Linked DNA regions of Danio rerio. The protein of the gene in region 1 purifies or fractionates together with the protein of each later gene. This does not show direct contact. Links are inferred from orthologs where the notes say so. Each region holds a gene or a part of one and is shown in the gene's direction. Other genes may lie near its edges. The genes, in order: map3k2 and traf7.

What was found.
Region 2: the proteins of map3k2 (region 1) and traf7 purify together in Homo sapiens (affinity purification with mass spectrometry; 3 studies listed by BioGRID and IntAct, with this or other methods). This does not show direct contact. The link is inferred for Danio rerio from reciprocal best matches to the Homo sapiens genes MAP3K2 and TRAF7.

Annotation. Positions count from the first base shown.
Region 1 is NC_133181.1:10,489,771-10,494,136, reverse strand, and holds the start of map3k2 (mitogen-activated protein kinase kinase kinase 2), read left to right. Parts: upstream 1-1,516; 5' UTR 1,517-2,014; intron 2,015-2,893; 5' UTR 2,894-2,962; coding exon 2,963-2,966; intron 2,967-3,515; coding exon 3,516-3,631; intron 3,632-4,366. UniProt on the Homo sapiens protein: Component of a protein kinase signal transduction cascade. Regulates the JNK and ERK5 pathways by phosphorylating and activating MAP2K5 and MAP2K7. Plays a role in caveolae kiss-and-run dynamics.
Region 2 is NC_133178.1:34,483,106-34,486,938, forward strand, and holds part of traf7 (E3 ubiquitin-protein ligase TRAF7), read left to right. Parts: intron 1-558; coding exon 559-598; intron 599-684; coding exon 685-801; intron 802-2,271; coding exon 2,272-2,394; intron 2,395-3,833. UniProt on the Homo sapiens protein: E3 ubiquitin and SUMO-protein ligase that plays a role in different biological processes such as innate immunity, inflammation or apoptosis. Potentiates MAP3K3-mediated activation of JUN/AP1 and DDIT3 transcriptional regulators.

The DNA of each region.
Region 1 (4,366 bases):
TGCTGAAAATGTCCTTCCCTTTATGACCACAGTGTACCCATCTTTTAGTAGCTACCAGGATGGTGGGGACAAAATTTGGCATCCACACCATGGAAGCAATGATCGATTCTGCTTTGTATCAACGATTGAGGCTAATGGTTGTGGTGTAATGGTGTGGGAGATATTTACTTGGCACACTTTGGCCTAATTAAACCAAATGTGCCATGTCATAAAGAATTAATCATCTCAGACTCGTTTCTTGAACATAACAATGAGTTCACTGTACTCAGATGACCTCCACAGTCACCAGATCTTAATCCAATAGAGCGCCTTTGGGATGAGGTGGAATGGGAAATTCGTATCATGGGTGTGCAGCCCAAAAAATCTGCAGCATCTGTGTGATGCTATCATGTCAATTTGGACAAAAATTTCTGAGGATTATTTCCAGTACCTTGTTGAATCTCTGCCATGAAGGATGAAGGCAGTTCTGAAGGCAAAATGGTGGTCCAACCCAGTACTAGTAAGGTGTACCTAATAAAGTGACCGGTGAGTGTATGTTCTCTTGCGTCAGCTAGTCAGGGTGTGCGTTTACTACAGTATCATGTATTGCCAGTAGTGTCATCAGCGCAACAGGCCAAACATGAGTCAAAAACTATGGCCTCATTTTGCCCGTAGTAAACATGCACCCTGATCAAACATGGAAGACATCAAAGAAGAAATTTATTTTGTAATTAATTAAGGAGCACAAATTAAAGCTTGGGGTCATGTTGGCGCAGTGGCTAGCACAACCGCCTCACAGCAAGAAGGTCGCTGGTTCACAGTGTATGTGTGTGTATGGATGTGATCCCCGTGATAGGCTGCAGATGGAAGGGCATCCGCTATGTAAAACATATGCTGGATAAGATGGTGGTCCATCCCGCTGTGGCAACCCATGATTAATAAAGGGACTAAGCTGAAATGAAAATGAATGAATAATTCTGATCTTTGAAAATCTTTTTGGAGCTTTGTATGATCACAGTTGAAACACAGAAGTCACAAGGTTTTTGGTTCGTTTTCTGGATTTTAAACATCTCTGGAGCATGGTAAAATGTCAGTGAACTTCATGAGGCAGGGTAATTAAGGGTACTGGAATTTACAATTTTGGGTGAACTAACCCTTTAATCATCTTTATGCAATCCACAACTTTCTCCACCAGATGGCAGAATGTTTTGATGAACTAGGAGAAAATAATATATCTATATATACTCTGACAGACCTAAGTCATTCATGAATGTGCCGTTTGTATTTAACGGTATAGACTGATTTATCTCAATTAAAAAATATTCATAAAACCAGTGAAAACCCTGTGCATAGCGGATGTGCATTCACGCACGCAGCAAACATGTGCCTGTAAATCAAATGGGAGTTTTTCGGAGAGCATTCAATATTCTGATTGGTCGAAAACAATCTAACCGCGTTCTCTGATTGGTTAGAATTTGACACTGCCGCGTCTCTGACCATCCGAGGCCTTATTACGATGTGTCCGTCGGCAGATGGCGCTGTCGAGACATGTGAGTTTGAGTGAAAAGACAGCGGTGCTGTTCTAAAGTAGTGTGTGTGTGTCTGCGTTTGCAGTGTTTTAAGTGTACTTAATACCTAACACCTTTTGCTAAATGTGCCGTTTCGTCTTCTTGGATTAATTTTCTGACCAGACCTTCACAGATTGTGCACTGTTATAGTCGTACATCGCGAATCTTCTCTCAGTCTAATTGACAACAGTTGATCTTCGTCAGGTCGAGCGCGTTTAACCTAATGTAAACAAACCTCCGTCCGCGGCCGAAGATTAGCTTTATTCATCCTCACATTACCCTGGATTTACCGTCAGCAGCTTTCGCTTACCTGCAAAGTGAGCTGTGGTCAGCGGGAGATGGTTTGGCCGTGCAGGCAGGCCTTGGACTGAAGTTAAAGCCGTTTATTTGAGTCTTGTCAGAGTGTCAGATTCCTCTCGAGGCCTCACATCTTTGGATGAGGAAGTGAACGGATCGAGCTCACCCAGGTGATCAAATGATGTTTATTTTTATGCGATTAACAGGATGACTGAATTACGAAGACAGTTAAATCAGACATATCTGTTTGTGTCTTTCTGATAGCTGTTTGAGCTGTTCGTTAGCATGTTTGCGCAATGCTAACTGTGGCCCAACTGTTAAAAGAGCTAAACGGCTAACAGTGTGTTATAAATGTGTCAGTGCAGTAGTTTTATTTAACAATATTTAGAGGCACATATTATATTTTTATAAATACATTAATGCCATTGTGATTTATGTTATATATAATCATGCAATCGCATTTGGTTGCTTCTTTGACATGCAGTAGTTTTGACAGGTATGTGTGCTAACCAGTTAGCTTGAGTATTAGCTTTCTAAGGAAACTTCAAGTTACATTTTATTTAGTTGTTCATCAAATTGCATATCATATTGAGAGTTTTTAATGTGCTGTGCACAGATTATGACACGTGGTCATAAATGGTAAAAAGTGACTTGACATATGACATTCTCTGATAAGCTATTTATCAGTTATTATATGTTGACTTGTGTTTTGCTGTCAGGATTTTGAAATTTAAAGTTAGATACACATGTTTAAACACCTCAGAGTTAAACAAGATATTGTCGTATTAAACATTTAAGAGCTTGATAATGAAGGACAATAAATGTGGCTTTTAATAAGAGATTATTTCATTCTAATGTCATGATTTTGTATAATTTATAAAGCATTTTCCCTTGTGTCATTATTAATCTGTGTTGTTTTGTTGCATTGTAAAGCTATAATTGTGCAATTTAGACCTAGTGATTTTGGTCAATTCGATCACTACAAATACGTCATCTTAATAAATAATTAGATTATTTTATAATCAAAGTGTTATTATTTTTTTGTATAGGAGAAAGGATCCCATTTCATGGGAGAATCCTCTTTCCTTTACTCCTGGGTGAATCAGTGATCAGTCAAAATGGGTAAGTGCACAAATGTTTTTTTAAGTGTTTGTATTGAGGATAGGCATGGGCCGGCACAGGATTCTGACGGTATGATAACCTTGGATAAAAATGTCACGGTTTTACGGTAATGCAGTCTTGTGATAACTGCTATAAAATATGTTCTTTTTAAATGTCTGGCTAAAAAAACAAAAACTCTTTCCCCCTTTGAACACAATAGATTTTATTTTGAGAAACACTTAAAATATTTTGGAGCAGTAAACATGTCAGGCTAAATAATTCAAATGAATCTCTGACTTCTGCTGTCTTCTACTGTTTCAAAAACACAATGATATTTTTACAATTTAAAATGGCATCTTTGAATATCTTTTCTGCTGGAGATATAGTTGTCATAAAAAAAATGTAAATAAAAAATCTTAAACACACCTTAGGAACGGTATAGCAGAAGATTTTGATGGTTTTAAAACCTTGACTTTTCCAAACCGTGGTATACCTTGAAAACGGTTATCGTCCCATGCCTAATTGAGGATTAATAAATATAATGTGAATACATAATAAAATATATTGCAGATGAGCAGGAGGCCCTGAATTCCATCATGCAAGACCTGGCGGTGTTGCATCGATCCAGTCGACCATCTGTTCTGTCTGACCTGGCCAAACCCAAGGCCTCCTCTCCCAAGAACCAGGTCTGTATCGCCTCTTTTCTAATTCACATCAGCAACAGCTACAGTGCTCAGCATATATGAGTACACCCCTCACAAATCTCTCATTTAGATTCATGTTTTCAATTGGAAGCTTCACAATATTATATTCTTGCATATAGATTGATTAGTGAGTAGTAAAGCCATGTCTGGAGCTAATCTAGCAAAATAACTTACAACAACGGTTTAAAATTTGTATAATGATTTGATTATTATAAATTAGGGTAGTATTGTGTTGTCTTTATATTTCTGAAGATGTTCGGGGGCCTAAATATTATTTTATTAAATATAAATTTGTTTAATTAATATGTTTTGTTCAAATGCATCAAAATATATGACCCATATTTACTGAGAAATGGATAAAAATGTTCATTTTCACAATGAGGTGTCCTCAATTATGTTTAGCTCCATATTTGAGGTATTTTGTTTCTGATAAATGAGTTGGAGCTAATCGTCCCTAAGACAGATGTTGAACCTATTAAATTAGTTTTATTTCTTTCCAAATTTCATTAAATTTATTAGTTTTTTAAGGTTATTACTAGGGCTGTGCGATTTGGGGAATATCTAATTATAATGTTTTTTTTTTTGACAGATATTGTGATTTGATTTACGATTTAATTTAAGCTGATTTTAATTTAATTTAAACTTCAGCTCAACAGTCTGTAAGCCATAGCAACAATTCTGTGACAGCTTTTAAAAATGACCTGTTTTTGTTAGGTG
Region 2 (3,833 bases), on another chromosome or scaffold:
ATTCATCAGTGCAGATTGTTAGTGAGAGATGTGTTTCATTCTTACATTGAAGCCTGAGTTCTACTGAAAAAGTCAAATCAGTGTATTATAGGTAATGGCCTAAATTAACAGTCATCAAGTTCAAAATAAACATTGAGGTTGACAAGTATAAGAAGTATATGAAATGTTAACAAGTGTTATGCACAATTTGGCCTTTAAGAAAAATGACTATTGTTCCGAACCAGCTTTACAAATTAAAATAATCATATAAATATGTAATCTGATGCACTGCACTGATTTTTATGTGGACATAACCATGTTTTACGAATGACACACAGTCACATCCATTTTGTGCATTTTAAAAAGCACCAAACAAAAAGCTGTATGCTTTTATTTTGAAAGCACTGAAAAAACAATTATGAAGTGTAGTTTTAGGCTCTGGTTACAGCTCTAATAAAAATATACAATATTTAAAAAGAATTTAACAAAGTAAAAACGGTTGCAAATGTCATGTTCATGTTGTCTTTAAATGGACAAGGGAACTTACAAATTCTTGCACATTTTTTTTTGTTTCTGCAGGAACAAGCTGTATAGTGGCTCAGCTGATTGTACAATCATTGTGAGTGTCCCTGAAGTGCATTTAAAAGAGGAATCAAACTACTGATTCGGACAGTAACTAATACACATTCACTTGCTCTTCCTCAGGTTTGGGATATCCAGACCCTTCAGAAAGTGAACACCATCCGGGCACACGATAACCCTGTGTGCACTCTAGTGTCCTCACACAACATGCTCTTCAGCGGCTCTCTCAAAGCCATTAAGGTCAGTATCGTCTGTTGTAGAGATGATGTGCGCGTCTGCAAACACATGCCCAATCAAGCAGCTAATGTCAAGCTTCATTCTGCCCCATTTGGTGATGTGCATGTTGGCTCTATAAACCTCTTTTGTGTGAAATTTGGCTGACAATTAATTGTCTAAGAAGTAATTGCAGTTACAGACAATAATTGTATATTTTGGAAATATGCTTTTCATATAACTAGCTAATTCAAGAATTTTTTATATATATATATATATATATATATATATATATATATATATATATATATATATATATATATATATATATATATATAAATTATTTATTTATATATATATGTGTGTGTATGTATGTATATATATGTAAGTATATATATATATATATATATATATATATATATATATATAAATTATTTATTTATATATATGTGTGTGTATGTATGTATATATATGTATGTGTGTATATATATATATATATATATATATATATATATATATATATATGTGTGTATATATATATATATATATATATGTGTGTGTGTGTATATGTATGTATATATATATATATATATATATATATATATATATATATATATATATATATATATATATATATATATACCTGTAGAAAAAAGTGAATTGTGCACAGTTGTTTGCCTTTTAAGTAGTTGAAGCATTTAAGTTACTCACTTTTGCCTTTTTAGAATAGTTTTCTACTGCCACATAGCGCTTATGAAATAAATGTTTTCAGTACATAATAACCGGTGGTGATCTATTAATAAACCAATACAGAATCGTTAACATCTGCATCGCAGTGCATCAAAGAAGCAATTAATTTTGACACCCATAATGATCAACCAGCATTCTTCGGAATAAATAAGTTCAACAGAAGAAACAGATGGTTAATTTTTGAGTGAACAGTCTCATTAACTTGTCAATGCAAATTTAACCTGCAAATGACCAATACGCTGCTCTATTCTGCTTAAGCTACCAAGGGTATGTATCCAACTTTCCATGGGGTGTCCATCAATGCAATGCACTCAACACCCTGCAAAGTGTTGTGAATTTGAAAGTAAAACTAAAATTGCATTAGCGTTCAGATCAATGTCTACATATTTTGGTTTATGTGCATTCTATAGGGATTGCAACAATTGCAGTTACCCGAAACAACCACTGATAGTTTAGATTATTAATATTAGATGATTCTTTAACAATCGCACAATGTTTTCCCTAAAATGCTGAAGAGGATTGGATCCGATCTCCAGCAGAGAACGGAGAAGCACAGAGTTTTAGCAGAATGAGATGCTCTTGGCTATGCGAGAGCGTCTGAAGAGCTCACGCTGTGCTTGTATCACCATGGTTATGTGTGGGAGGATTGAGGGAGTGGAGGCTCAACTGCAGAATGAGCTCATCTCTCAGGGAATTTCCAGATTACCAATTCACAGTGTGCTTGAACATCTCTCTCTGTCTCTGTAGGTGTGGGATATTGTTGGCACAGAGCTGAAGCTAAAGAAGGAGCTGACTGGTTTAAATCACTGGGTTCGAGCTTTGGTTGCTTCTCAGAATCATCTTTACAGTGGATCTTATCAAACCATAAAGGTTAGGAGTGTTAAACTTTGAACGGTTTGAATACAAAACAACCCTTTCAGTTGCTTCAGGATCTCCAAGATTTCATCATAAAGGACTGTATGCTGGTTATTGGGTAATTAGGTTGTTTTCACATACAGTCTTGAAAATGAGTTTACATATCCCTTATTTTTAAACGATCAAGTAAATTGAATTTTATGCCTGTAATAATTTATTTTCATTAATTCGTAAAAAATACAAACTCCAGAAAAAAAAAAAAAACGGGCAAAGCAGACTTTCTTTAAATAAACAAATCAATTAATCAATTAATCACGACTTAATAAAGGTCACTGCCGTTGTTAATGTGTATAAATTATTCAGGTTTTATTAGTTAAAGTGTGATTTTTATTTATATCATTTAATTAAACCTTTAAAATGAGAAATCTACTCGGGGTATCTGCAGCATCATAAATATACAAAATTTTATTTAGGCCTGAAAGTCTTAATTTTGTTGGAATATAAAAGAATAATTACCTTTAACTCATAAAATGAATACCTAAATAATTTTAAACAGGTCTTAATTGTCCATGTAAAGCTACCCAATCGGGCTAACACCCAGCAAATTTTTAACGTTCATCCGCAATAAAAGTTTTAACAAAAGATTATTTATTAATGTACTTTTTAATGTTGTTTAACTTTTTTGATCACTAGTCACAATTTGGTTGTTGGGAAAATATATTTTATATGAATAAATTTGACTTTGGCATGCTAAAATTACTTTATTTAGGTTTTGTGTTATGTCCCCTTCTCATTCATTTCACTTTTTGATTGTTGTGTATGACATTGCTCAATGAGCATCAGCAAATAGTTTTTGGTTTAATGATGTTGCATTGGAATTAGTTCTAATTTCAAATGATTTTTCAGAACTCAGCATTAAGGATTTACCTTCTCTGGTCACCCCAAAAATAAATAAACAAATACCTAACTATTCCTTAGCTACACATTTTAAATAATTTTAAAAAATTATTAAAACAAAATAAATAAACATCCACTTTTTATTTAACATAGCCTTTCTTTAAGAAAATATAATTTTAAAAATAACTATTGTCATGTATCTAAAACTATGCACAGTAGTTTGTCCAGGCTAAAGGTCCCAGACCACCAGTTAACTATACATAAATGAGAAGTTAATCTTCTAGTAAAGCAGTTATTGTAAAGGATGATAATTAAACCATGTATAAAAAAAAATAACTGTAAGCAAAAGAAAGCATACAAAAAACACTGTGTGCGATAATGAAAGGATGATCACATGCGCAAAGTAAACATTAGGCCCAATAATAATCTGTTCAAAGTTTGGTAAAATAAGGAAATCGGCAACTGCTGCTGCTTTTTAAACATTTTAAAAAAGAACCTGAAGCTCTTAAAAACAGCAGGACAGTGATTTATTTATTTTTGTCGAGTCTATTTCAAAG